4 linked regions of the Arabidopsis thaliana genome follow. The protein of the gene in region 1 interacts with the protein of each later gene in a pairwise test. Each region holds a gene or a part of one and is shown on either strand. Other genes may lie near its edges. The genes, in order: AT3G26370, AT4G19645, AT3G59740 and AT3G02880.

Evidence for each region.
Region 2: the proteins of AT3G26370 (region 1) and AT4G19645 interact in a protein complementation assay, tested with the Arabidopsis thaliana proteins (one large-scale study listed by BioGRID).
Region 3: the proteins of AT3G26370 (region 1) and AT3G59740 interact in a protein complementation assay, tested with the Arabidopsis thaliana proteins (one large-scale study listed by BioGRID).
Region 4: the proteins of AT3G26370 (region 1) and AT3G02880 interact in a protein complementation assay, tested with the Arabidopsis thaliana proteins (one large-scale study listed by BioGRID).

Annotation. Positions count from the first base shown.
Region 1 is NC_003074.8:9,654,365-9,662,111, reverse strand, and holds AT3G26370 (O-fucosyltransferase family protein), read right to left. Parts: upstream 5,433-7,747; 5' UTR 5,227-5,432; coding exon 4,918-5,226; intron 4,743-4,917; coding exon 4,692-4,742; intron 4,600-4,691; coding exon 4,509-4,599; intron 4,339-4,508; coding exon 4,262-4,338; intron 4,138-4,261; coding exon 4,049-4,137; intron 3,956-4,048; coding exon 3,836-3,955; intron 3,661-3,835; coding exon 3,544-3,660; intron 3,448-3,543; coding exon 3,304-3,447; intron 3,216-3,303; coding exon 3,092-3,215; coding exon of another isoform or gene 3,029-3,091; exon of another isoform or gene 3,004-3,028; coding exon 2,812-3,003; intron 2,731-2,811; coding exon 2,371-2,730; 3' UTR 2,167-2,370; downstream 1-2,166. Other genes in the region: AT3G26380 (Melibiase family protein), read right to left, coding at 102-236, 338-396, 477-574, 651-814, 896-957, 1,047-1,221, 1,302-1,559, 1,644-1,797 and 1 more; AT3G26360 (Ribosomal protein S21 family protein), read left to right, coding at 5,739-6,034, 6,140-6,149; AT3G26350 (proline-rich receptor-like kinase), read left to right, coding at 7,382-7,747. UniProt on the Arabidopsis thaliana protein: Glycosyltransferase involved in the biosynthesis of pectic type-II arabinogalactans.
Region 2 is NC_003075.7:10,688,260-10,695,923, forward strand, and holds AT4G19645 (TRAM, LAG1 and CLN8 (TLC) lipid-sensing domain containing protein), read right to left. Parts: upstream 4,573-7,664; 5' UTR 4,554-4,572; intron 3,763-4,553; exon of another isoform or gene 3,733-3,762; intron 3,704-3,732; exon of another isoform or gene 3,502-3,703; coding exon of another isoform or gene 3,415-3,501; exon of another isoform or gene 3,228-3,414; intron 3,137-3,227; 5' UTR 3,040-3,136; coding exon 2,926-3,039; intron 2,839-2,925; coding exon 2,750-2,838; intron 2,681-2,749; coding exon 2,539-2,680; intron 2,443-2,538; coding exon 2,368-2,442; intron 2,301-2,367; coding exon 2,103-2,300; intron 2,018-2,102; coding exon 1,958-2,017; intron 1,811-1,957; coding exon 1,682-1,810; 3' UTR 1,499-1,681; downstream 1-1,498. Other genes in the region: ARA7 (Ras-related small GTP-binding family protein), read right to left, coding at 146-219, 344-392, 479-646, 730-807, 1,152-1,190; AT4G19650 (Mitochondrial transcription termination factor family protein), read left to right, coding at 5,129-6,907.
Region 3 is NC_003074.8:22,065,712-22,072,623, forward strand, and holds AT3G59740 (Concanavalin A-like lectin protein kinase family protein), read right to left. Parts: upstream 3,348-6,912; coding exon 1,368-3,347; 3' UTR 1,276-1,367; downstream 1-1,275. Other genes in the region: AT3G59730 (Concanavalin A-like lectin protein kinase family protein), read right to left, coding at 1-168; AT3G59750 (Concanavalin A-like lectin protein kinase family protein), read right to left, coding at 4,144-5,586, 5,673-6,110; OASC (O-acetylserine (thiol) lyase), read right to left, coding at 6,408-6,422.
Region 4 is NC_003074.8:631,825-639,241, reverse strand, and holds AT3G02880 (Leucine-rich repeat protein kinase family protein), read right to left. Parts: upstream 4,778-7,417; 5' UTR 4,424-4,777; coding exon 3,133-4,423; intron 2,946-3,132; coding exon 2,628-2,945; intron 2,535-2,627; coding exon 2,260-2,534; 3' UTR 1,958-2,259; downstream 1-1,957. Other genes in the region: GASA5 (GAST1 protein homolog 5), read left to right, coding at 231-308, 469-502, 738-919; ILR1 (Peptidase M20/M25/M40 family protein), read right to left, coding at 5,383-5,781, 5,886-6,014, 6,107-6,421, 6,670-6,795, 6,890-7,249.

The sequences.
Region 1 (7,747 bases):
TAAATAACGAAACAGACAGAGTTTGATGACAGAAGTTTGGAGTTTCAAAATACGGATATGAGTTTGAACTTGAAGATTAAAGTGTTATGATTTTTACACACCTCCTTGTTGTTAGAGCTATAAGAGTTTATTTCCAGCAGTGTAGGATTTGTGATCAGATTATAAGTAGTGGCATCGAGATTTCTCACATCACCTCCAAACATGAGAGGGGACTTTGCGATGGACCACAATGTCATCTGAGTAAGCAATATAAAAAGCATAAGAAATTTGAACTTGTGGTTGAGAAGGTTACTAATAAACTAGGATCCTTAGATGAGGTCCAAAGCTTGTGGTATACCTGTGACTTCTGTTCTTCAAGATTTAGATTACACGCTCGATGAGGTCCAACATTTGAACCTTTACCAAACATTATAAAAAAGACAAATGTTCATTGGAACCATATACAGAATTGAAATTTCAAGATTTTTAAGTCAAACCTTGATCAGTAAGCCATCCAAGAGGTAACATATCTAGATCAGGCCATGATTTTCCTTGTAACCCTCGTGCACCAATCATACTAGAAGCAGATAAATCTCTGGAAGAATGAAAATTATATGACATCAAAGAAAGGTAAAAACTTGGCAAGAGTATTTTTCAGCTTGAAACCTGACCTCGAGATATCAAAATGTGCCGTGACATCTTTCCATGTGTCCCAATCATCACCCGTTATTCTATACATGTTAACCAATTGGCTAACTTCTTTAGCCATTGTAGGTGTCACACTCGTCCCTGGAGATATGGAGTACAAAACAGGCCGATCAAGCTCCTTTAGAACCTGCGACAAATAAGAACAATGTTTCATCTCTATGTACCTCTGACTTTAACCAGAAGATTGGTAGTTATCACAAATATGTACCTCTGACACATAAGTTATCTCCTCTATATTGAAGTCAGTGCCAAATACGCAGTCATGTTTTACTAAAGACCAAGAAAGTGAGACAAGATTGAGATAATCATATATCGAATAAAGTTAAAGAAGGTTACGGAAATGAAGTCGATTCTCTTACTGAAATCAACGCCCCATTCTGCATATTGACGATAAAGAGACCTCAAGAATGCTTTTCCTGCACCTAACTTGGTATTCACACTCATGAACCCATGCGACATCCAAACACAAGCCCTCTCCTTGATCCCAATATCTTTCGCTCGCCACTGTCTACCTGATTCTTCATAAGCACCTCCCTTCAACCATTAAAAGATTCACTTGTTGATAACTTCCAAACAAACTTCATAAACTCAGAAAGAATCAATCAACTCAATACCTTAACACTATCCATAACGAGACTATTTGCGTTATAAGCTTGTGTGCTGATTCCTCCCATAACATGAATCCCAAACTTCAAACCCATTCTATGAACTTTCTCAGCAACTTCAGTGAAACCTTTACCGCCTCTAGAAGATGGCCATCTACCTGGATCAGGATGCAATCTTCCCCATTCATCAATCACATCAAACCCAAGAGAATCCACATAAGCTCCTTCAACTTTCTTTCTATACCAAAGGTAATCCACCACAACATACTGTATCCAAATCAACACACACAAACACAAGCAATTAAAAACCTAAACTTTTACATTCTAAAGGATAAAGAAACTCACAATTACCTGATAACCATGAGGAAGAAGACGCTTAGAAACAATTTCAGCACTCTGCAAGAACTCAGCTTCAGAGATAGTCCAACAAAAGGAATCGTACGAATTCCATCCTCTTGGAGGAAAGCTAGCATGTTGTTGCCTCGACCTTGCTTCAATCGATAAACTGAAAAAGACGAAACTTTTGTGATTGATCGATCACTCAAACACCACCCACTCAAAAACCAAAATCAAATTCAAAAACCCAGTGAAGCGGAGTACCTAAAAATGGATAGATTAAAGATGATGAAGAAGACAGTGGACCGGGTCGACCCGGTTTTCTCTACGGATAGTCCGGTCATAGAGATGAGAACTGATTACGATAGCTTCTGATTTTGTTTTCCTCTTTTGTTGTTGAGAACCTGAGAGTAAGAGAGAAGACAACACGCAATGGTTGTGTTAATGGCGGGTACTATTAGAGAGCGTGACAAAAAATTAAGAATTGGATTAGTAACCGTTGAGCTAATTTTCTTTTAATTAAAGTTTAGTGCATCAATTTGATCAAATTTAATATAAAAAAGAAACTTTTTTTTCATCACTAGGAACTTTACATAATATCAAAATGATTACAAAGATGGTAAATGAAGACTTCAAAGATTTGAAAGGTCAAAAAAGAAGAAGAAGAAGAAGAAAACTACGAATCTCTATAGTTTGTTGCTCCTCATCAGACAAAATCCAAGACCAAACAAAAGCATCATCATCAAGCTTTACACATGCATGGAGTGAGAGGATTTTCCCAAAGATCATAGTTAGGGAAAGTTTCTTCAGGTAAACCGGTTCGTGTTTGATGGGTTACAACTACATCTTCCACAAAAGTTGCCCATCCCATGTAAGGATCCCCAAATGATTTCGACATCAACCCTTTATCCGGTTTGATTGATTTCTGGCGATGCCCCATATATCTACGCGCTCCGATGATCAGTTTTGCAAAGTTTCCACCGTGTGTCATCACAAATACATCTGATTTCAAGCACACCAAGAAATCTAGAGCCGCAAGACTTGTAACGTGTTTTCTAAACGTTGTTAGTTCCTCTTTGCCTGCTAAATCCTCCTTTGTTACCTGATTCAAAGGACAGTTAATGTGAGAGACAAGTTTGTGCTGATTCATCAAAGAATTATAAGAGTCCGGTGTTGTGCTTACCAAATTTGGGAACATGTTTCTTAGTGGAGCCATACGGTTTTGACCGCCATAGACTTGACCAGATGCAACATAGATTTGTGTTTCTTTTGGATAGCCCATTGCACGTAGGATCACAGCAACTTCTCCTGGCTCAAGAGGGCATCGACCTTCTTTGCGCTTCTGCAAGGCGAGCTGCCAGAGATGGGAACCATTCTGCAATATATGTCAAGAAATTTCATTAAGGTAGCGGTTGAGGTTGTTTAGCCACCAAAAGAAGTTGACAACTGCTTATAAATGTCACCTTGAAACGCCGAGGCCATTCCTTTTGTCTGTATTCTGCCATTTTAACTTTCTCTTCCCTTGTCCCCACAAAATCACAGAACGATAGACCAACCATTCCTTTCTCGAATCTAAGATGAAGAGCCCTATACAAGAGACATGGGTATAGTTTTAAGTTGATATAATGCATATGGTCCTAAGTTATAACAAAGTCGAATCTCTGATATGGCATACATATATGGATTTGGATTTCCAGTGCGATTTCTCATTCTAGAAACAAGTGAATCAGCCATCTGCTCTATCTCTGGAAGAAATTTGAGAGCATGATAATTTACACGGCATCGTAATCTGTTGATTTCTTGAGGTACATTGTCATACCTGAAAAAATTTCCAGCATCACAAGAATAAATCATTCATTGTTTATAAGACGATTTCCAAAATCTGAGCACTAAACTATAGGAATATTGGTTATACCCAAGTCGATCGACAAAAGGCTTCAAGGCCATTATCTTCTTCTCCTTTATCCGAGGTAAAACATTGTCAATATAAAATTGGGCTGCTGCATATTTGGGAATGTTTTTGACTGTTCTTCTGCAGAAGATAAATAAATAACTTGGTCAACATCATATCTGATTAAAAAATACAGATCGATTTTTAAATCAGAGATATACACAAGGAGCACCCAGTGACGCCATAATTCCACAAGCTAACTTTTGAAATCGTCCAACAAGTACATCATCAACAAATAATGAGTTGACAAGCAAACCTTATACTAGAGAATAGCTCTGCTTTGTCAGTGAACCAGTCAGGTATGTCTCGAACAATTCGGACATCATCCTTCAAGTAATCAATGAAATGATCTACATCAAAAATGTCTTCAAATTTTCTGCAAAAGAAAGTTAACAAGCTCAGTAAACCAAAAAGAAAATAGAGAAGTAATTCAAGATGAAATGAAATCAATATCTGAATATGATTTTACGTTGTGTCTTTCCATATTTGGTCCTGCTTCAGTACTGGTAGAATCAGTGTTGCATTCATAATCTTGGCAACAGCTACTGCGTTGCAGATCTGGAAACAAAAGGGCATGAATTCAAGATTGGACGATGGCAAGAAGAACAACAGCCATTTAGACATTGATCCATGATTGGATAATGGCGAGAAGAAAAAGAGATAAAAGTTGGAAGATACATACAGCAATTCGCTGCTGATTCAAACCACCTTCAGCATGAATGAATACATAGCCATTTGTTTCATTCTCAGGAGGAAGATCTGAAAAAAACAGTTGACACAATCTAATAAGCTAACCAAGGAAAAAGACTTGAACTTTCACGAAAAGACAGATCAATAACACATGACAATGTGTTTCGACGAAAAAAAAAAAATAAAAAAAAAAAATAACACATGACAATGAAAATGACAATGCTCTAGCCCTTCAATACCTGAGATTCCACCAATCCGCCGCTCAGCACAAGGCTTCCAAGAAGTTGTTGCAGATAAAGGATTCTCCCAAGGAGAAGGTGACTCTTTTACCTTACAAATGCAAACCAACACACAATTAAATTTACAGGATTCAAAGCTTATGCATTCAACAAAACACATAACCAAAGTTTTCAAACACTTACATGAGGACAGTTTAGCACAATCCCATCTTTTTTACATAAATAAGGAGCATTCTGCAGAAGATAGACATAGAAGCAATCTTAGTCTGAGAACAATGTCAATCCAAATCCACCTAAATAAACAAACCCCTTTACTCAAAACAAAGCTAAATACTTTTCCAAATCGATTCCACAGTTAGAACATAGAGCCTTGAAGATCTCAATTCCTAGATCGAAGGAAGAGACTTACCAAGTGATTAATAATCCCATAAACTGAGATCAAGCTAGCAATAGCGAGAATCAAAATCAATAGAAGCGAGATTTTATTCTTCTGAGGAGAAACCCTAGGATCATCACCGAAGAAAGGAAACAAAGAGTGAAACCAGATCGGACGGTCTCGATCTCTAGAAGGATGACGTGGGCGACCATCTTCGTCGTCTCCGCCGTTAGGAGAGTGATCGTGTACATGAGGCGATGAAGAATCCTCATCTCCGGCGGCACGTAACGGAGAAGAAGAAGATCGGCTACCGAGAGAGCTCGAGTGCCGTAACTCTGCCATTGCTCGCCTCGGACTAAAAGTCGCCAGCTTAATTTCTATATCCTCTCTTCCTTTTCTTCCTCTTCACTTTCTCTGTAGATAGATACAGTGCTTCTTCAGCTCTACTATGTGGACGCTGCCATTTGAGAGAGAGCTTGGAGATTCGAACACTCCACAGAGAGAGAGAGAAATTAAAGAAGCTTTTTTTTTTTGAAAGGCTTGAATGTTCTTCTTTAAAGTCAATACTCTCTGAATCAAACAGAAGATTAGATTTAAGGATATTTACAAAAACATCCCTATATCTCATAAAACTTACATAACCACCCCTATATTAGTAAATTCTCTGGTTTTTATCTCATTTCCTCCATCGCCTCTTTTTTAACCTAGACATTCTCCATCATCACTCAAATTGGCTCTTTGATTCTCTCCGGCGAGATTCCGACCGGTAAGTCGAATTCAGATCCTATCACTGTCTCTCGTCAATCTCATTTACGTTTTCAGAAACATACTTTTTCAGAAAACAAGTAAAAGAGATGAACACGATAGCGAAGCGAGTTACGGGGTTGGTGACTCGTCCGAGTCTAAACCAGCAGTTGCAGCAAGAGCGAGGGATAAGAGTGAAGGTGTTCTCCAATGATTTAGACAAGGCACTGACGATTTTGCAGAAGAAGATGCAATCGAGTGGAATGGAGAGGCTGATCAAAGGGACTCAGACTCATCACATTAAGAATTCGGAGAAGAAGGTTCTCGCTAGGAAGAATCTTGAACGCAGAATCAAATCCATTGACTTTGCTCGAAAACTCCAATCAATCCTCATCAAGAAAGTCAGGTAATGTTTTCTGATTTTTCTCAAAAGCTTCACATTTTTTAGGGTTTTAATGGTGTTGTTTAGTTTAGTAAGATCTTGCGTATTTCTTATTGTTATTCTTTGCAGAGGTTTATGAGAGCTGAGGTGAAGCAAGAGTGCTGCTATGTTGATCAGTACTAGTATCTGTGTGTGATATAACACAGTTTTACATTTTGAACTTTTGATGAGTTGAATCAATGTGGAATTGGAATTTTGGATTTGATTAGTTGTTTACTCTATGGCTTCTCTTTCGTAAGTTTTCAATGATCTTGAGAAAGAACATCAGATCTTAGGAGTACATGTATTGAAAGTTGTTTCAGGGCAAGTGCGTTGCTTCTCCTGCACTCTGTATGACTGTGTTCTGTGGGTCTCTGTGCTTGAATTGTGTTTCTTGTTCCGGCCATGATTACTCTGAGATTGTTCTGCTTTCTTCGCGTGTAAAGCGTAGGTTAGCTCTTTCCAGGCGTTTACACTTTCATTTTATGTATATTCATGTTACTATATACCATGCCATGCCAAAGAATGGGGATAAGAGATATAGGAAGAACAATTGCACCGAAGATCGTGGAAAATACCTTTTGTATGGGTTTAGTTTTCAGTTTGCTTCCAGCTTTTTTACTAGTATCTGTTTGGTCAGGCTCGATTGGTAGTTGTCTTTGTCAACGTTTGCAGTAACCGGCATTGCAGAGTTGGTTTCATGTTTGATGCTGCAGAAATTGAGCAGAGAACAGAGTATCTACCTGCAGAAGCAACGTGTTTCGCATCAGATTTGCGCTAACTAATCTGCGGCCTTCTTGATCTATGGGAGACATATCTTAACATGTTCATAGTTTACTGACATATTCGACAAGTTTTCGTAAGTTGCTCTGAGAATCAACATCTTTCCCCTGGAGTGAGCTGAAGTAGAAAGATTGACATATTCATGACTGTTACTGTAAGTCCTTAACCCTGTCTCTCCTAAAATCGAGATCTTTTTATTTGGGTTTTAGATAAATTGGACCGAGTAATTACAATTTTCTTAAAAAAACTTTTGAATGAGAAAAAGATACAGAGAATGTTTTTATACTTTTTCATGAGATTAGAAACTGATTTTAATTTTAGTGCAAGGAATCTACAACAAAGATTACTTGCTTCGTGCTATCACTTTCCTTCTTTATTTTGTTTTCTACAACAAAGAATCCTTACTTGAACTTGTCACCAAGTTATTCTCTCCCTCTCTCTATCTCATTTAGAAACTTAAAACAGTTCAAAATCTCTCTGTTCTCATTCTTTCATCTCAAGTCTTACTTAACTTAGTTTCCTTTGATGCTTTTTAGCTTCTTCATCTAAATGTCTCATCATCATCACCATGAAACTAACCCTCATTTTGCGCGAATTCCATCGCAGAATCCACATCTCAAAAGCGGTGGTGCTTCTACCTCACAAACATCTTCGAACCAACCACACATCCCGCCCATTCCGCACCCAAAAAAATCGCACCACAAAACCACGCAACCTCACCCAGTAGCTCCACCAGGAATCCTAATCAAGACTCGTGGTCGCCACCGTGAAAATCCAATCCAAGAACCGAAACATTCTGTAATACCTGTACCATTAAGCCCAGAGGAGAGACTTCCACCACGAAAAACTCAAAACTCATCGAAAAGACCATTGCTATTAAGCCCTGAAGATAATCAACAACAACGACCTCCACCA
Region 2 (7,664 bases), on another chromosome or scaffold:
TGACATGTGAAATTTCAAAATACAGCTTAACACGTTCAACATGATGATCAGCTATTACACACACATAGCTCAACTTTATATTTGACAGTAAAATCCTAACCTCATAATGAGAAAAATCAGTCAGGACAGAGAAGGACTTGCTTACCTCTGCTGTCACCTTCCTTGCATCTAATAAATCAGATTTGTTTCCAGCAAGGGCCATGACCATATTAGGGTTACCTATTCACACAAATACATTTATTCAGTAAAACCCACAGACAGAAACTAAAGCTTGACGGTGCCTGCAACTGGAAGTCATAAACTAACAAAGAACTATCAAATCCAGAACTCAGCTATACAATACCTTGTGCCTGCAGTTCCTGAACCCATTTCTTTGCCCTCTCAAACGAAGCCTAAGAAGATAGCAAGAAAATCAAACAAACTTAATTTAATAGAATGCCACTAAATTGCATTTGCATCTACTTAATTTATTATGTACCTGATTCGTAACATCAAAAACAATGATTGCAGCAGCAGCACCTCTGTAGTACATTGGAGCCAAACTATGGTACCGTTCCTGACCCGCTGTATCCCAAATCTCAAACTTCACAGTGGCATCGTTCACAGCTAACGTTTGTGAGAAAAAAGCAGCACCAATGGTTGATTCCTATAACATAAACATATATCAAAGTCAAGAAGCACACACAGAATGTGAACAACAACATAAACATCAATAGAAGAGCCATTAACCTGGAATTCAACAAACTGATCTTTGACAAACCGTAACACAAGACTTGATTTTCCAGCACCAACATCTCCAAGCAACACCTGAAAGACTTAACCAAGTACACAGAAACAAATCAAAATAAGCAAAAAAAAAAAACAGAAACCAAATCAACACTGTTTGCAAGCACCGTGTTCAGATAAATCCCTAAAACCCTATTATGGAAAAACCTAAATCAAAATCGAACATAAACCCTAACAACAAAATCTGATCAAAGCTCTCCAATTCAACATCACGTATCAAAATTCTCCAAATTAGAAACAGAATCAAATCCAGAAAACTGAAAATCTAACAAAACGGGTCTGCAAATTCAATCAATTTTACGATCATCGGAGAGAGACAAACCAACCACAAGGGAACTCAAAAGAATCGAGCTAATAAGACTGACCAATTTGGCGTTAATGCTCTTGTTTCCAGCTGCAGCCATGGATTATCGATCTGAAGAGAATCGCAGGTCGATACGATAATCTTCAGCTCAAAACTGAGATTGAAGATCAAAAGACGACGGAGACACAAAAAGGTTAAAAAAAATTAGTGAGCGGAAACGCGTCGTCAACAACAACCAATCTCCTCCTCCTCAATTAATGTTGCTTTCTTTCTAGAACTAACAAAAAATACAAGTAAACAAATATTACACGGCAAGTTAATATGACACGAAAAAACTACGAATATAATCGTTGGCCCAATGTAGATTTAGGCCCAAGTCTTTTTGGGTTAAGTCCTCTATTGATTTCGTACATGGATTTAAGTATTCAGCATGCATAGGGACTGTTGTGGGAATAATGGGAATGAGATTTTGAACATAATTAGTGTATAAGCTAAAAGTTAGAAACAAACCATATCTTTGTTGCTTATAAACTTGTAAGATTCTTCATAAGAGTTTTATATTTACATAAAAAAAAAAACACAACTCTTTCTTCACTGTCTTTTCTCAAGAGTTTTCTTCAATCCCTTCACTATCTTACCAAACCAGATCAAGTTCATGACACTCAATGAAATCGGTACAACAAATACCAGTAGATAACCGAATGTATGCATCTCTATCACCTGCCGAAAAATCCATTGATCATCAATTCATTATCTCTAAACCTAACCAATACAACAGCAAAAAAAAAAAAAAAACAGAGTAATTCCTATTTTTCCTAAAGGCTAGACCGTTTGGTTTAGAGATAATCAAACCGAAATCTTGATTACCTGATCATAATGTGTGTAGACATGGTAAAACATGTAGATGAACAGAAGAATTCTTGCTGTCTGCAAACAAAACATCATTGCTATAAAAAAGGAGATCAAGTTTTCAGACATTTACAACGAAAAACAAAGGTTTTAAGAAACTCACCAACCAAGCAAAGAATATAGCAACTCCATTAACAAGATAAGCTTTAGATCGTTTCAAACCAGCAATGTCAAGGTACCATCTAAGATTGATCTCTGGTGTAGTCACTTCAGAGATTAAAACCATGTATGTGTAAAGCTGAGCCTCTCCAGAGAACAAAGAATACGCTACTGCTGTTCCAGATAAGCAGTGATGTAATATCTGAAACAAAAAACACAAGATTGTCAAGTAATTGAAGACCACATAAGCTTTCATGTGTCTAACTTACATATTCTGATCCTCCTAAAGAAGGGTATAACCAAAAGATCATTCCAAGATCCGCAAGAAAGTAACCAACTGATACCTATGCAAAAAACACATCACAACAAAGTACCATATAAGTTGATCAATGCTCATGAGTAGGACTTGTGAGATAAAATGAAGAAAGATCAAAACTTACTCCTAAACCAAAGGTAGACAGAGGCGAGTTACGAAACACCGTAAGGGTTTCAAGGCTTCTTTGGTCAGAAAACAAATCAGAGAAGAACGCAAAGTATAATGCCATGAATGAGATAAAGATCGCATGGACTGTAGAAATTCCCCTGTCAAGCCAAAGTGATAAGAGACTAGAGCATAACATATAAAGGCTGAAACAAGGAACCTATACATACCTGTTGTTCCATTCAATTCTCTTTATTTTTGTGAGAGCTGAGTATGATTTGACATGAATTGAGCTGAATAACTCCGTAAGATCATATACCTAAGAACATAAGCTACACTGTTTAAAAACAGAATGCAGAAAAAAGTGAAGTTTCTGCAATTGTAAGTGAAGAGAAGCAAAACTTACCAATTTGCAAAGACAGATTCCAACAAGAACAGAAGTATATGGAAGAAATGGATCTGCTAATAAATAGTGTTCAACAAAATACTCTGCTTGATTTTGGTAAGATTTGATCTCCATGACTGTCTCTAGTTCTCAATTTCTTCTTTGGTGAATGGTTTTAACTCTTCTTCTTCTACAGACTAATCACTTCTCTCAAGCTTTATCATCATCATTACTGAAATATAGAAAAGAAAGAGCAAAGTAAGAAACTTCATTTCTGAACAAAAAGTCTTTTCAAGGATTATACAAATGGTTTTGTGAATTACATCAGAAGAAACCACAAAAATCTTCGTTATACCCAAGAAGAAGATACTAAAAGACTCTGTTTTTATCGTTTGATCAGAGAAAATCCAATTTTGTAACAATAAGTTTAAACTTTAAAACGGACAAAAAGTAGAGACAGAAGCAATCAACACGTGAACCGCAAAAGGCTGCAGAAGAAACGCAAAGAAGATGAAGAAGGAGAAGGACGTTACAGAGACGATTATGAGAGAAGAAAAAAAGGGTTCTTTCTTCAGAGACTTCGAGAAATTATCCAAAGTTAAGAGAGTTTTTTACCAAGTAACTTGAAGCGCAAGAGGGTGCAGTAGTAATTAAAAAAACAAAACTACCAAAGTAGTTATCTTAAGAATAATCGAGAGAGAAGACAACTATTGACAAAGATAATTCAGTTTGGGTTTTGTTTTAAGGATATGCTTAATAGTTAATAACATGTAATTAGGGAGGAAACAAAGGAAGCAGAAAATGGTTGTATAAATTATGGATTCTGACCTTGTTAGACGATTTAAATCGAGTGTGCAGGAAAACCTAAGGGAGAATATGTTAATTATGAAATATTATATCTTTTATATTGAAAGCACCAAATCATCTTGTTTTTGGTTGTATCTTATATATAAAAGGGTAAGGTAGGTGGATTTTAGGAGGAGCCAAGGATTTGTTTTTTGTTTTTTCTTGCAGAAATTTGGTAATTTTGGCTTTTATAATTTTGTTACAAATAGTGAATAAAATATTAAAAAAATAAGAGAAAAAAATATTTAAAGATATAGTGAATAAGATTTAACTTCATTGTTATAATCTATATTTAATAATTTACTTATAATTATAATTAAAAATTCACTTAAATAAGACATATTAAGATCTTTGAAAATAATTTATATTGTAATTTACTGTCAAAAGGTTTTGAAAAAAACAACATTTGAAAAATAATCAAAACAAATATAAAATTCATCCGAGTAAGCCACAAGTTTTATATAAAGCTGTTTTACAAAGAAAAATCATTCCTCTCAAACATAACAAATAGTCAAACAAAACATATGCAAGTTAAACAAGAGTCAAGTTATCTTTTTCCATCATGTTGAACTAAAATCTAAATGCACTTAAGATAGTCAGAAATATTTTGAAACTAAAACTAGTGATTAAAAGAATACTTGTTATTATATGTTTGGTAGGCGTTTTAGCTTGAAGATGATGACCTAACATGAATTGAATCTACCATGGACCACTTGAAATTGACCTAATAAAAAAGTTACATATCTATAAAATCAAAAATCAGAAAGACGAACAAACCATTTATGCTCGTGAAGAAAACTCACCGTTTCTTGCTGCCTTTATCTTGCATACATATAGTCAGCTCAAAGAAATCACCACTTGGTTGGGTTTTGAAGTCGTTTTATAGTGATATACTTGAAGAATTTGTAACGCTCGTGATAATAACACGATTTCGTGTGATATGTTTATCACTTTTGACAAGTCTAAACTTGACAAGTCTATTAATTCGGTATCAAAAGAGGAATAATAATATCTCACGTCAAGTCTTTTAAGGCCAAGTGTTGATGATGCACTAATTGGTACCTTTATGATATTTCGGAAACTCTTAGGCACATATTGAAGTATAGAAAAATAAGATTATGGTCGTTTCGGATATATTATAAACGTTTAGGGGCTTCTCTGAAATTTCCACCTTAATTTGAAGCCAGAACAAGGTTTAAGCAAAGTAACTGAGATTTGGCTATGAACCCTAAGAATCTTGGGAAAATGGTTGATTCAAATGCTTAATAAGCCCTAATTTCAGGTAAATTTCTTACTTGAAAGAGTAAGCATTGAGAATTCTTCATAGCTCTCTATTTGATTGTGACTTTCACCTGTTTCTCTTTGTTGTTAGGTTGCGATGTTATTATCCAGAAATCAGAGAAGAGTTCATAAACTGTTGAATATGATTTCAAATCTCAACTACTGTATAACTTTCTCATCTATTCCTCGTCAAAACCCAGTTCAAAGGTTCGACCTTTCTCGTGTTTCAGTTCCATTTCGGAGTTTTCAGATTGAAAGCTGTGTTCGTCAGGATAAATCTAAGTTACAACAACACTCGTCTCACTTACCAACTAGGTTTTTCGTTAATCCGGTATCAAGGGCTAGTAGGAATCAAGCTCAAGAAGCTCTTTTTGATTACTTGCATTATACTAGAAGCTTTACTTTTACTGATGCAGAGCATATAAGTAAGAATTCTCCTTGTTTTATGTCGACTTTGTTGTCTAAGATTGATGATAATCAGAAAGATGTATCCAAGGGATTGACTAAGTTCCTTAGGTACAATCCGATAAACGAGTTTGAACCGTTTTTCGAGAGTTTGGGTTTGTGTCCTTATGAGTTTGAAACGTTTCTTCCACGGAAGCTAATGTTTTTGAGTGATGATGGTATCATGTTTGAGAACTTTCATGCTCTTTGCAACTATGGGATCCCGCGTGGTAAGATTGGCCGTATGTATAAAGAAGCGAGAGAGATTTTTAGATATGAATCTGGGATGTTGGCGATGAAGCTAAGGGGTTATGAGAATTTGGGTCTTAGTAAGGCTACAGTTATTAAGTTAGTTACTAGTTGCCCTTTGCTACTGGTTGGTGGGATTGATGCTGAGTTTTCTTCTGTAGTTGATAAGTTGAAAGGGTTACAAGTAGGATGTGATTGGCTTGGGCGGTACTTGTCTGACCGGAAAACATATAGCTGGCGCAGAATTCTGGAGACAATAGAGTTTCTTGATAAAGTGGGATGTAAAGAGGAGAAGTTGAGTAGTCTTTTGAAAACGTATCCAGCTTTGGTAATCGAAGGCTCCGGAAAGAAATTCTATGTTCTGTTTGGTAGGTTGTTTAAAGCGGGGCTTCAAGTGAATGAGATTTATAGGCTATTTATAGACAATCCAGAGATGTTGTCAGACAAATGCGTGAAAAATATTCAGAAGACGTTGGATTTCTTGATTGCTATTAGAATGGAAACGCAGTTTATCACGAAGATTTTGCTGAGTCATATGGAGCTTATTGGTTCATGCTCTCTGCCAGCACCTAGAACTGCTTGTCTTAGTTTGAATGTTAAACAAGACGAGCTATGTAAGATCTTAAAGAAAGAGCCTTTGAGATTGTTTTGTTTTGTTTCTACAACGAAGAAGAGAAAAAGCAAACCTCTTTCGGAAGACTCGAGGAAATACTTAGAGAAGACAGAGTTTTTGTTGAGGCTAGGGTATGTAGAAAACTCGGATGAGATGGTGAAGGCTCTAAAACAGTTTCGAGGGAGGGGAGATCAGCTACAGGAGAGATTTGATTGCCTTGTGAAAGCCGGTTTAAACTATAATGTGGTTACTGAGATCATCAGGCATGCTCCGATGATACTTAACCTGTCTAAAGATGTCATAGAGAAAAAGATACATTCCTTAACCGAACTTCTTGGCTATCCAATTGAATCATTGGTAAGGTTCCCGGCATATCTGTGTTATGATATGCAGAGGATACATCACAGATTCTCAATGTATTTATGGTTGAGGGAAAGAGATGCAGCAAAGCCAATGCTGTCACCAAGCACTATTCTCACTTGCGGTGATGCCCGGTTTGTGAAGTATTTTGTCAATGTCCACCCTGAAGGTCCAGCCATTTGGGAAAGTATAAACCAATCATCTACCTGAAGTTAAGGTTATTGGCACTATTTCTTGAATTTAGTACAACTGAGACAGTGAAGGGTTTTTGATATCAATGCCACCTAATGAATCAAAAGGAAGAGTTTGGAGAATTCCGGAACAGAGAGATCCATTAGTGTTAGCCGATGCTTGTGAAAGAGCAAATGAAGTATGTGCTGAGTTACAGATTTGATGCAGATCTAAAATGTTGCGTGAATTCATTGGAAATATTCTTTAGATAGTACTGAGAAGATCTGCAAATTGTTTGTTGGAATATTCCTCCTTAGCCGTCCTACAACATCTGTCCTGCAACATCTGTCCTGTAAACAAACAGATGGACACGCATAACATTCGAAGGAGACAGTACTGATGATTTGTCCAGAGTCTGTTACAGGTTACTGAAAGATCTCTCATGTGATTCATATACTCTTTAGTAATAGTTAGCTTGTGTTATGTAATTGACTGCTTCAGTTCAGGTCTAAAGGAAAGCAAATATTTTTGTAACAATTGAAGACATAAATCCAAGTAGTAGAATTTTCTGACCAAATAAGCAAGCAATATGTTCTAAATGATTTGGATTCAGAGCATCATATTTTTCCTTTACACATTTTAAAAATCAAAATCCCTTGTAATACAAATTGAACCTAAAGCCAAAATGGGATCTTCAATCTTTTCAAAGGAACTATCTCTATTCTCTAGTTCCTGTTTTGCTATCAGAAGCAGGCTTAGATTTTGGTATTGAGATTAATTCAACACGAGGATCTTT
Region 3 (6,912 bases), about 12 Mb from region 1:
AGCTTGACCGTAGGAATGCTTCGTGGTGTTCGTTAAAACCAAGTAACTATTTTCGTTGAAAACTGCAGATCCATCCAGGATATATGTGCCATGGGAGTTGTAAGTAAATGAAAACAGAGTAAGCCACTGAACAAGAACTATTTGTAAGACTTTGACTTCACTAAACATGTTCTTGTTCGTTTTTTTTTTTTGGCTTATGGGAAGGTTTTGATCGTAATGTGATATTTATCAGAAGAATTATGTAAGAAGATACAACATAAAAATAAGTAAAACTGTATGAATATGATCAAGCCAATATAATGTGAACGAAACTGGTCATGTCATAAACATATGTAGTTTGTATTTAATTACCCACATGGCCTAGATGATCAAACCGCAACACAATAAACAAATAATCTTCTGATCATTTTTCAATTAATAATAGCAATTATTGTGGGATTGTCAGAGTGTAGAAGCGGACCCATGTTAGGTTTGCAAACCTATTTTACTACTGAAATTTTGCTATATTGGTTATGAGATTATGACATCCTATTTGCTTTTTGTATTTTTTTTCTTCTTTTTACAAAACATTATTGTTAATTATTCTCTTGAATCTCTTCTTATCGTTCCATTAATGTGTTGATTAGTCTTAGGACTTAAACTATTGTTATTGTTGCTGTTTACCTATTGCTGTTAATTATTTATCTAATGAATATTCATGTTATATGCGGCCAACGAACTAAGATAAGTAAGCAAACTTAAGAGAGAAAAAACACATGTACACTATTTAGTAATTACGCACTGTGCATGGCCAAGATAAAGTCGTAAATCAATTATAAGAAAACAAATCTTCTAATTCTTGCTAAGATTAAATAGCGATTATAGTGGAAAGCATAATAAGCAATAATCAAAAAAACTTTTCTTCTCAGATCTCTACCAAAGAAATAAAAAGGTCAAAAAAGCTTCTCTTATCTTTTCTACAACCTAATCCGTCGAACATTACGGAGCGTAGAAATGGATAAACAATGTAAGTTTAACAACCAACGTGTTGACCATAAAATGTAAAAAAAATAAGTTTTTTGACATGTTTTAATGTAAAGTTTAACAGATTTTGTATTGGTCTACAGAAAAAAAAAAGTTAATTAAGTTATAAGTCATTGCTCTTGAAAATTTGGTTTTATAAACAAATTCGAACAAGATTACTTTGAAAGCAAGAATGAAACAAACATATTATAACCCTAAAAGTAAACCCTAGAAATTTAGGGATGAATTGGAAGGCATTCATGATTCAAAGATACAGAAACATGTACTCATTTATCAAATAGACGGATACAGAAGCTCCCGATGGAATATAAATGTTTGATCAAAACTAACTTATTTTTATGGTTTCAGCGTCCATGGGACACAAAAGAATTCGTCAACGTCATTGTACCAAAAGAATTCAGATCAAGACCAAGTAGTACTTCCATTGATGTCTCAGGAATTCCTCTCAATCTCTCAGCCCTAACAACATCAAGAAGATTATTGGGAAGATGCGAAACGCCATTCAAGATCTGCAAAACCGCACTCATGTTCGGTCTAATCAATTCAGTGTGATGTGCACACAACAGACCTAGCTTCAAAACAAGCTCAATTTCTCCTCTGTTTTGTTCTTGACGAATACTTTCCTCAGCTGCATCGAAAAGTTTCCCACTTTCCCAAAGCTCTAAAATCCAATCAACAAGAACCGCTTCATTTTCTGCTGCACGTCTCTCAATCAATCTTCTACCACAAACGACTTCAAGCATAACCAACCCAAAGGCGTAAACATCTGTGCTTGTGGTTGCTCTTCCTGTTCTTAAGAGCTCAGGTGCAATATAACCTAATGTTCCCGCTACTCTAGATGTCTGAGGATCAAATCCCTGATCATACAGCTTCGCCAATCCGAAATCCCCGAGCCTCGCATTCATGCCGTGGTCGAGTAGAACATTAGCCGGTTTTATATCTCGATGAACGATGACTTGTACCCATTCTTGATGCAGGTGTAGTAGAGCAGTTGCAACGTCTTTGATGATCTTGAAACGTTGTTCCCAAGTAAGCCGTTCTTGATTTTCATTCGTGTTGCTACGGGTTAGACACCTGTCAAGGCTTCCATTAGGCATAAAGTCATAAACTAAGTAGAGATTCTCTTTATGCTTACAATATCCCAAAAGCCTGACTAGATTTGGATGTCTGAGACGACCAATGGTCGATATCTCGGCTAGAAATTCGCTCATCCCTTGTCTTGAATCATGAGAAGTCCGTTTTACAGCGATCTCTGCATCGGAACCCGGAAGCATTCCTTTGTAGACTTGACCAAAGCCTCCTTTCCCAAGAAGTTGTTTCTCTTTGAAACCCTTTGTGGCATTGAAAAGCTCCTTATAAGAAAACCTATGAGGTCCATTCTGAATCTCCCATTCTTCAAGAACCTCCTTAACCTTCTTATGCCTCACATAAAAGACAAAACCTATTCCGGAAGCGACTAATGCAGTGAACACGGCCAACGTTAAGCAGACCGCTAAAATCCTCCGTGTTCTATCATACGACTTCTTTGGATATGGAGGAAGGGTTGGGATTACGCCAAGGTCCCATGCTGGATATATAACTCCTTCTTCATAGGAAAATTGCATCACATAATAGAGTGCTCCGATCGACCCGGTCGATGCCGTGAAACCCAAGTACGTCTCCTCCAAAAAATAGGGCGAGAGATCTCGGTTCAAAGACAAGAGCGATTTTTGTGGCGGAACAGAGATTTCAGCAGGTAATAAAGTAACATTGAGCTGTTTATCGGTGTGACTATAAACGATGGAAAGCCTCATTACCTTTGTGCTGATCAAAGAAAGCTTTTTGAAGTTTCCATCTTCATCATCATAGTAACCAGCAGAAGCAGAGGCAACAGATGTCAAACCATTAATGTTAATCCCAACATGATTATCATCAATATCTCCAAACTCTTCGTCTTTTCGTATATCTAACTCGATAGCTATAACGTTATTCGAGGCTTTACCGTTGTTTGTCTCGTTAAAGATTCCCAGGTATTGATCGGGGGAAGCTCCGGGAAGGCCTCTTGTAGGAGAGAAAACGAAAGCCATACCGTGTGAACCTTGCTGCTTATGTTCAGGGACGATCCCGAAGATGATGTTGAATGAGAAAGATGAGTTCTTGATGGGAACGGGAGTGTTGTTGAAAGCTTGACCGTAGGAATGCTTCGTGGTGTTTGTTAAAAGGCAATAACCGTTTAAACCTGCAGCTGCAGCTTCTTCCATGAGGAAGTTGCCATTGGAGTTGTGAGTAGATGAAAACAGAGTAAGCAACAGAACGAGAACTATTTGTAAGACTTTATGAGACATGTTCTTGTTTGTTATTTTTTGGCTTATGGGAAGGTTATGATCTTAATGTAATATTTATCATCTCATAAGAATTACGGTCGAAAATAATGGGAACCCAACGTTCTTTTTTTCTTTTTATTTTTGTTATTCTTCGTTAGTAATAAAAAAACATATGTATTTAAGCACATGAGCTAGATCAAGTCGTAAAGCAATTATAGTGGGACTGGTAGAGCGTGTCGTCAAAAGACAGAACTTTTCTACGATCTTAATACTTTGAAGTATTAAATTACTAATAACAACAGTGTGAAAAGCATAATTAAAAAGCAGCAATCCAACAAAGCTATTTTTCCACAACCATTTTGTAGAAAAAACAACGTATGTTTAACATTTTTAATTTAGTGTAGATTCTAACAAATTCTCTACTGGTCTGAAGGCAAAAGTGAAGTTATATGTCACTAATTTGTCATGGTTTGATCATTATATATTGAGATTAATCCTATGTAGTGTAACAACATCAAAGTAGTTTAGAATGTTTTTGGTTATATGTCACTGATTTGGCAATTCACGCCATTTTGTTTTGACGCCATTGCTCTTGAAAGTTCGGTTTCTTAAACAAATCCAACAAGAAAACTTTGAAAGCAGAAAATACAAAACATATTATATGTTGAGTCCTAAAAATTTAAGATATAAGAACTTGGGGATGAAACGGAAGGCTTTACTGATTCAAGATAAAGAAACCCTAATGTAGTGATTCATCAAATAGACGATACAAAAGCTTGAATGTAACTGTTCATTCAAACTAACTTCTTTAACGGTTTCAGCGTCCATGGGACAAGAAAGAATTTGTTAATGTCATTGTACCAACTGAATACAGATTAAGACCAAGTAGTACTTCGATTGATGTTTCAGGCATTCCTCTCAAGTTCTCAGCTCTTACGACATCAAGAAGATTATCTGGAAGCTGCGAAACGCCATTCAAGATCTGCATAACCGCACTCATGTTCGGTCTAATCAGTTCAGTGTGATGTGCACACAACAGACCTAGCTTCAAAAGAAGCTCGATTTCTCCCCTGTTTTGTTCTTGACGGATACTTTCCTCAGCTGCATCGAAAAGTTTCCCACTTTCCCAAAGCTCTAAGATCCAATCCACAAGAACTTCTTCATTTTCCGGTGCACGTCGCTCAATCATTCTTCTACCACAAACAACTTCAAGCATTACCAACCCAAAGGCATAAACATCAGTGCTTGTGGTCGCTCTTCCTGTTCTTAGGAGCTCAGGTGCGATATAACCAAATGTTCCCGCTACTCTAGATGTCTGAGGGTCAAGTCCCTGATCATACAGCTTTGCCAATCCGAAATCCCCGATCCTTGCATTCATTTCGTGGTCGATTAGGACATTAGCTGGTTTGATATCTCTATGAATGATGATTTGTACCCATTCTTGATGCAGGTGTAGTAGAGCAGATGCAACATCTTTGATGATCTTGAAACGTTGTTCCCAAGTGAGCCGTTCTTGATTCTCATTACGGTCTAGATACTTGTCAAGGCTTCCATTGGGCGTAAAGTCATAAACCAAGTAGAGATTCTCCTTATGCCTACAATATCCCAGAAGCCTGACTAGATTTGGATGCCTGAGACGACCAATGGTCGATATCTCGGCTAGAAACTCGCTCATGCCTTGTCTTGAATCATGAGAAGTCCGTTTTACAGCGATCTCTGCATTGGAACCCGGGAGCGTTCCTTTAAAGACTTGACCAAAGCCTCCTTTTCCAAGAAGTTGTTTCTCCTTGAAATCCTTTGTGGCATTGAGAAGCTCCTTATAGGCAAACCTATGAGGTCCATATTGAATCTCCCATTCCTCAAGAACCTCCTTAACCTTCTTATGCCTCGTATAGAAGACAAAACAGATTCCCGAGGCGACAAACACAGCGAACACAGCAAGCGTTAAGCAGACCGCTAAAATCTTCTTTGTTCTGTCAGACGATTTCTTCGGATATGGAGGAAGGGTTGGGACTACGATGAACTCCCATGTTGGATTCTCAACTTTTGGAGTAGCGTACGAACTCAACATATAATGAAATGCTCCAATGGATCCAGTCGATGCCGTGTAGCCATAATACATCTCCTCCAAAAAATACGGGGAGAGATCTCGATTCAAAGACAGCAGTGGTTTCCGTGGCGGAACAGGGATCTCAGCCGGGAATAAAGTAACATTGAGCTGTTGATCAGGATGACTATAAACGATAGAAAGCCGCATTACCTTTCCGCTGATCAAAGAAAGATTTCTGAAGATTCCATCTTTATCATCATAGTAACCAGCAGAAGCAGAAACAACAGATGTCAAACCATTGCAACATGATTATCATCAATATCTCCGAACTCTTGGTCTTTTTGTATATCTAACTCGATAGCTATAACGTGGTTTGATGATTTACCGTTGGTTGTTTCATTGAATAATCCGAGGTACTGATCGGAGGAAGCTCCTGGAAGGCCTGCTGTAGGAGAGATAACGAAAGACATGCCATGTGAACCGGACTGTGTATGCTCAGGTACTATTCCAAAGAGGAAGTGGAAGCTGAAAGACGAATCTTTTATGGGAATGGATTCGTTGTTGAAAGTTTGACCGCAGGAATGCTTCTTGGTGTTCGTTAAAATGGTGTCACCAATGGAGTTGTCAGCTGCAGAGCCCTCCAGGGTCCAGTTTCCATTGGAGTTGTAAGTAGATGAAGACAGAGTATAGAGCAGAACAAGAACTATATGCAAGACTTTGAGTTCACTAGGCATGTTAGGATTTTTTTTGTTTTTGCTTATGGGAAGAAATTGATCATATGAGATATTTTTATCATCTCATTGAGAGTTAAGTAAGAGTATAAAAGAATTCCAAACTGCAAAAGTAGGGTCGAACAAAATGGAAACGAACGTTCACATGGATTTCCGCGTTGTTCATATTAAAAATTTATGTATTTACACACACATGGGGCCTAAACCAAGTCGTAAAGCAATTAAGATAATAATCTTCCAATCTTCATTGGATTCAAAGCAATTATCGTGGGATTGGTAGAGCGTGTCCTAATCCTAATATTAACCGCTGACTCTCTGAGCATTAGAAAATATATGGATCAAAATTTCAAAAAGACGGGATTTTTCTATGATCTTAAAACTGTGTGAAAACTGGAAAACATCAAAAAGTACTTTAAAAGCAATAATCGAACAAAGTAAGTTTCACATCCAAAGTTTTGACCACAAAATTTGTATTAAAAATAAGTTTTTGACATGTTTTAGAGTTAGATTCTGATTTTATTTTTTTCTATTGGTCTACATGAAAAAGTAAAGTTATATCACTAACCTATCATCGTTGATCATTATATATGAAAATACTCATGAAAGTTAATATTTTTTAGGTTAACAAGAAAAACAAACAAGGGATCAATCATCTTGTTCAATTCAATATAATTAAGCATTGGGATTTCCAACAGAAAATGTTGAGTAAAACATAGACTAGTGTTGGATATCCAAAATAGAACTCAAACCACATTCACTAATGCCTTATTGATAAAAATAAATTGCTTAGCACTCAGACTGTAAT
Region 4 (7,417 bases), 9.0 Mb from region 1:
TGTTGAGTCTTTGACATTGTCTAAGAGACAAAAACGACAAGTGTGGTACGTAATTAGAAATTAAAATGACCTACTTCCCCAGAATCACGGCATGAACATTGGCAATACCAAATTTCTTGAATACCATTGAAGGAAATCCACACTAATCATTTTCTCTATAAATATCTTTAATCCGTTTTATTGTTTCTTAAGAATCATTCATTGGCAATCAAGATTTTTTAACCAAAAAAATGGCGAATTGTATCAGAAGAAATGCTCTTTTCTTCTTGACTCTTCTCTTTTTATTGTCAGTCTCCAACCTCGTTCAGGTAAACCACTCAAAACAGATTCAGTTTATTAAAGTCTGATATTGAAGTTTTATATATTACAGGCTGCTCGTGGAGGTAAAAATGACCAAAGGCTATACATTCCTTAAAAATTTAATGGCTATTAGTTTTCTGATATTGAAGTTTTATATATATATGACAGGCTGCTCGTGGTGGTGGCAAACTCAAACCCCAACGTACGGACTCAAAACTTTTGTTGTTTCATATGATCATATTAATTTATTAATCACTAATTATTGATAATGTTGATAAATAAACTTTAAAGTAACAATAATGGTGTTTATTTTGTGAAATGTCAGTTTTCTAGTATACTGTATGCTGTGAATTATAAGCATGAACATAAAGATCTCAATGATTTGTTTTTTGTTTGTTTGTTGTGATATGCTTTTTTGATGGAAACTTCAATTGTAGAGTGCAACTCAAAGTGTAGCTTCCGTTGTTCAGCAACATCACACAAGAAGCCATGCATGTTCTTTTGCCTCAAGTGTTGCAAAAAATGTCTTTGTGTTCCTCCTGGCACTTTCGGCAACAAACAAACTTGTCCATGTTACAACAACTGGAAGACTAAAGAAGGCCGTCCAAAATGTCCTTAAAACTTCTTTTTAGATATATTTGATAATATTCATCTAGTTTTGGATTATCAAACACTTACTACTCTGTTTTAATCTGTTTCTACAAGTTGGCGATTTGTCTCTACACTTTTTTTGTGTCTTTTGCTCTTAACTGTTGTGTTTGTTATACGTGTAAGCCCGCCCAATGTGTCATGGCCGAACTTATTATGGTTACATATTTATGAAATGGGCTTCATTATCAATTGATTTGAGCCTACAAAAATGTAGCCATAAAGCCCATTAAGTTGTAATTGTTAATATTTCAGTCATAAATATGATTTTCTATATCTATGATTTATCTCTAGTGTTGATGATGTTTGTATGTGGAAGTCATGTTCTATTTGCTTCCACGGTTTAAAAACCATCAACTTGCTAAGGTCAAATTCTAATATTACTGTGAAAAACATTATTTACGTGCGTAATTATATGAATTTATGAATAGGTTTTAATTCCATTTTTTCCTAATAGTGTTTTATGTCAAAGAGTATCCCACTAATAAATTTATTGAACCCCATGTGCATATGTACCCAGTCTGGTACGAGTTGGAACATGAGATAAAGTTGTGGCAACTGCCCATGACTCGGTGTAAATGGTATATCACATGAAAAATTATAAGTCCAGATCACAATATGTTTTCTTCAAATAATTCGAAAAATTATCTAATCGATTTCCCTTTAAGCTTGAACTAAATAGTTTATCAGCACTAGTAATTCTTTCATACAAAATCTCTAAGCAAATATATATCTTTCTGGGTCAATGTTGTTTTTTCATATCTAAAATGTTTTTTCTTTCTCCTGTGAAGTAGGGTTATTAGTTAGTGGTTACCAACTTCACATTATAAAACTTCATATCTAATCAAATCGTGAAGTATTTGTCAGTCAATCGTGAGACGATATTCATGACCACTTTTGTCGTTGACTTTGTTTTTGGCTCAAAATTTTGGACGGCGATAAAAAATAAAACTCGTTGACATTGTTTTTTGGCTGAATCGTTGACTAGGATTCTGGGATAAGATGTGTAAAGAAGAAAACAAAAACCAATTTATTCACACGCAATCAACTATATATTTATACAAAAATTAGCAAAAGCAATAGTTTTATAGACATTTTTAAAACTTTGGAAATAAAGAAAAGTAGAAAGAAAGAAAAAAAGAAACTGATAGGTCTCATCTCAATTTGAGGCTCAAGAATTAACGAACAAACTAGAACAAGAACAAAGAAGAAGAAGTAGAAAAAAGGCGGGAAGTGGGGTCGACACTATTCAAGAAATTGCAACTTGACCCCAAACAATATTCAAATCAATCAATTTAGACCCCCAAAAAATCAGTCGGATACAGGATTTGGGGAGCCAGATGAATGAGAAACCTCCTCAATGAGTCTGGTGACTTCAGCCATCGAAGGACGACTATCTGGGAACTGAGCCGTACAGCTCATACCGATCTTCAATAAACGAATGATGTTCTCATTGCCCTCAGGTTGGTACCTTGTGAGCTCGGGATCAAGCACATCGGACGGTGTTTGTTGCTCGGTAACAGATTGGACCCATCTCGGCAAATCTACGCCTTCTTCATTCAACTGCTGATGCGTTGGAGACTTACCTGCAATGTAATGTTCCATGTTAAAACCTAGAAACCACAGCAATTGCAAAAAAAGCAGTTAAAAAGATATATCTATCCTTGATTGTTTGTTACCTGTGAGTAATTCAAGGATTAGGACGCCAAAGCTATAGACATCAGCTTTTTGGGATATTTTGCGAGCATCAGTGATTTCAGGGGCACGGTAGCCATCAATACGGTTAGGTGCAGATGTAGAACTAATGATGGGAGCAAGACCGTAATCAGAGACCTTAGCTTCATAGGAGTCAGATAATAGTATGTTCGAGGACTTAATGTTTCCATGAGAAGTTGTCCCATCACGCGAATGTAGGTAGCTAATCGCTCTTGCAGCTCCTAAGGCTATACCGGCTCTGGTTTCCCAGTTCAACGGAGTTCTCCCGTTTCCTTTGTTCCCTACAAATCCATTAAAAGAGCTTCAAAACCGAGCTTGAAGACACATAAGATAAACTAACTATGAAACAATTCAGTAATCAGTGTCAATTTTAGCCAAACCAGGTCCATCAAGATCACAAACTAGCATCAGCTAAACTAAGAACCCTAAAAATAAACAAATGCACAAATGGAGATTACTATTCTATACCGTGCAATATCGCAGACAAGCTTCCTTTAGACATGTACTCAAAGACAAGAAGCTTCTCGTCACGGCTGAAATAGTAAGCGATCAGAGTCACGAGATTGGCATGACTCATTGATCCCAAAACATGCAATCTCTCTCTGAACTCTTTCTCAGGCACCACAACATCTCTTAACCGTTTCACAGCCACCACTAACCCATGCTCAAAGCTTGCCTTATACGACGACCCAACTGTTCCTTTCCCAAGAACCTCAGCTGAAGCCTTCAACAATCCATCCAAATCGAATTCCCCGAAAGATTTCACGAAAAAGGTCAAATCTTTATTCACCGCACCACTCTCCGACCCCGTAGCCTTAGCCGGCGGGACAACAACCACCGTTTCCTTTGGTATAGCAGCGGAGGAAGTCGCAGCAGCGACAGGAGCTTCAACATTCCTAGATGGAACGTTCTCTTCTTTCTTTCTCTTTCTACAGAGACAGAACAGAATCAAAAGAAGCAGTAACAGACCAACAACACATCCGATCACAATCCCGACAATAGCTCCGGCGGATAACTTGTCGCTATCTTTCTTCTCCGGCGGCGTATTGGGTCCTCCAGCGTCACCACCATTGGGGCTCTCTGCCTCACAAGTGTCTAAAGGCTTCCCACAGAGAGTGTTACCTTCAAAAGCAGTTCGAGGCCAAGACGACAACGAACTCGGAATAGACCCGTTTAACTGATTAGAAGAAACATTGAATTGCTGAAGAGGAAGCGTGATCTCAGGGATCGGACCAGAGAGTTGATTCCTCTCCAAATACAGAGTAACCAACCGGGTCGCAGAATTGACATTATCCGGGATCCGACCCGAGAATTTATTCTCCCCTAGATTGATTCTGATTATGCTCGGAAGCGTGAAGAGAAGCGACGGAATCTCACCGGAAAAGGCATTACCTTGAAGATACAAGTAACGGAGGAGAACAAGGTTGGAGAAATCCGAAGGGATAGGACCAGAGAGAGAATTGAACCGGAGAGAAAGAGTCTTAAGCTGGGTTAGATTACCAATACCACCGATTGGTAAAGAACCGAATAAACCAGATCCGGGTAATCGGAGAGCCGTGACCCGACCCGCATCGCAGTGGACTCCGTGCCAATTACAAGGAGAAGAAGCACTCATGTTCCATAGCAAAGGACGGCCACGGACACTGTTACGAACAGCGAGTAAAGCTCTCCGGTCAGACTCTAGATCTGAAGTCACCGCAGCGAGATAGAAGACAAAGAGGAAGACAACAGAGAGACTTAGCTTACGCTTATACTTCATCTTCTTCTTCTTCTTCAAAAACCGTGTAAATTCTTCGTCTCCTTGGTTCCAAAAATTCAATAAATATATCGACTTTTTCGGATATGGGTTTTTGGAAAATTTATTTCGGCTACGCGTAAACGAGTGTTTGAACAAAGAGACTTTTGTGTTTTTTGGTTTACAAGAGTTTCAGCTCTGTCTTTCTTCTCTCTCTAGAGCCGGCTAAGAGAGAGAAAATGGTCATAATTGCAGAGAAAAAGGAAAAAAAGAAAAGTTACTAATTGGAATATTTCCTTTTTGACAAAAAAGTTAAAAGAGAATCTTATGTATTTAATTTGACAGCTAATTTACAGAAAGATAATTAATTAATTATAAGGTTATGACTTATGAATACTAGTTGTAACAATTTTATCAGAGTCAACTATATTTGCGTTACATAAATGACAATAAATCACTGCAGTAATGTTTTTTGTAGACGTTTAAACGACCTCTGTTTTTCCTTTCTTTTGTATTAGATCAATAAATTAGGTCTAATTAAAAAATTAATGGTCGTTATCGTTTTGTTTCTTTTATGTTTTTTTTTTTTGCAGGTTGAGTGTGACCAAAGACATGCCAGGTCTGTCAAATGTGTCTGAGCTACCGTTGACAAACAAAGATTAGCCTCTCCGACACCGTTTTTATTTCTGATATAAGTTTGTACCATAGACATTTTTTTTTTTTTTTTATGTATTTGTTGTATCAATTTGAAAGGAAGGTAATAGAAATGGTCAACAGAGAACTTAAGAAGTGGTATTCATTTTGAAGATTTCAATTGTTCAATTTTTAAAACTCTTACATCAAATTTATTTTAATAGAAGTGGTTGGTTTCTCGTGACTATTAACAAACATTCTTCCCAACCCGAAACCTAACCTCACCTAACTTTCAAGTTCAAATACAAATAGATGATGACTAATATAAGCTGATTTTCTCCCAACACCTTCTATAATTCACTCTTAACCTCTTCTTCATGGCTATGACCATGTTCGTCCAAATAAGAAACGGCCATAGCTGCGTGAAGAGCAGCCCCAACAGGAAGAGCTTCTTCATCAACAAAGAAGTAAGGCGAGTGAAGCGGCTTACCAGCGCCTAGCGTCTCATTCTTTACCCCCAGCACGAAAATCGCAGCCTTAGTCTTTTGAGTGAAGAAGCTGAAATCCTCTCCTCCCATTGTCACCGGGAAATCATGGAAGTTATTCTTTCCAATCATCGCTTCCGCTACTTTTTTACCGTGCTCGTATAAGCCCTCGTCGTTATTCATTACCGGGTGAAGCGACGGCTTTTTCTCTTCGAAGTTTACTTCTGCTTTGCATCGGTATACCGATGCTTGTGCCTCTGAAATCTGCATCATCATCAAGAAACATTTAAACAGGGTTAGGGACCTACATTATTCGAATAGTAGAACAAGATTGTATAGAAAAATGGTGTAAAAAACAATCTCTTTACCTCTTTGATCCGTCTTTGGATAAATAGAAGCCCATCGTTGCTTAAGCTTCTGAAAGTACCTCCAAATTTCGCACTCTGCGGTATTACGTTTTGAGCATGACCTCCTTCAATATATCCAACTGTAACCACCTGAGAAACATAAAAAAACCAATCTCCGCTGATTTCAGCCAAGATTCTGATTCATCAAACACCAATGCTTTGAAAGTGGAAAGCAAACTTACACCAGCTTCGAGTGGATCCAGTTCCCGCGAAACAATCTGTTGCAAGGCAACAACAGCGGAAGAAGCTGCAAGAACCGGGTCTTTAGAGAAGTGCGGTGTAGCTGCGTGGCTACCTTGACCGTGAACCGTGACTGTAAACAATCCTGCACCTGCAAGAACGGTCCCAGGCCTAGAACCAATACCACCTGATGGGATCGATGGAAAGACATGAACACTGAGTATCCCATCTAAGTCGTCTAGAATCTCGTCTTTTAGCATTTCATAAGCACCTGCATAACCTTCCTCGCCTGGTTGAAACACAAGTTTTACTGTCCCCTGTTGCAAAAAAATTGTGTTTTCGTTCAAAACCCTCATAAGATTCACCAAACTCTCATAAGACACACACACTAACAACTCTAGAAAACACACACACATAACAATTAGCAATCAAAGACATACACACACATATATCTAAGAATCTTAGAAAACACTAACCCACATCGAAATGAGTTTTAATTGCAGGGCACAGACAGAATCATTCAAAATTATACATATAAATTGAGTGAAAGAGAAAAAAGAGAGACCTTGATGAGGTGTTTTGTGGTTTGAAGAAGCTTAGCAGCACCAAGAAGCATAGCAACATGAGTATCATGACCACAAGCATGCATCTTTCCATCTACTTTACTTTTCGATTCCCATTCCACTAATTCCTTTTTTTGTCCCCATTTTTTCAAATTCATTAGTCAAACAAAGCAATCTAAAAATCAGAGTAAAAATCGGAACTTTGATTATTAGATTTCAAACCTGTAACGGAAGTGCGTCCATGTCGGCTCTAAGTCCGAAAACAGGTTTCGAACAGGATCCGATCCAAGCGACGACGCCAGTCTTCGCCACAGGATACTTATACTTCACTCCAAGCGAGTCAAGCTCGTCTCGAACGAGTTGACTCGTTTTGAACTCCTGAAACCCTGTCTCTGGGTTCTCATGAATCTTTCTCCTAATTCCTCTCATCCACTCGAAGAACTCAGGATCCTTGGCTGAATGAAGCATCCCGCGAGCGAGTGACTCGAGACCCGAACCAGAATCGTAGCTCCCAGCTGAAGACAGAGGAGGGAGAAAGAAGAAGGTAACGAAGATGACAAAGAAGCTCCCTGAGAAATCCATTCTGATTTCTTTTGTTTGTCGATGTAAACTGGCAAGTGTCAATGAAAGAAAGGACAACGGTGAATACGATGATGATGAAGGAGAAGGAGTTGGATCACCGATCCATTTTTAATATTTATATAGTACGTAATTTACACACGTTTTTGGAAACTCTTTTAATCGTTTTTA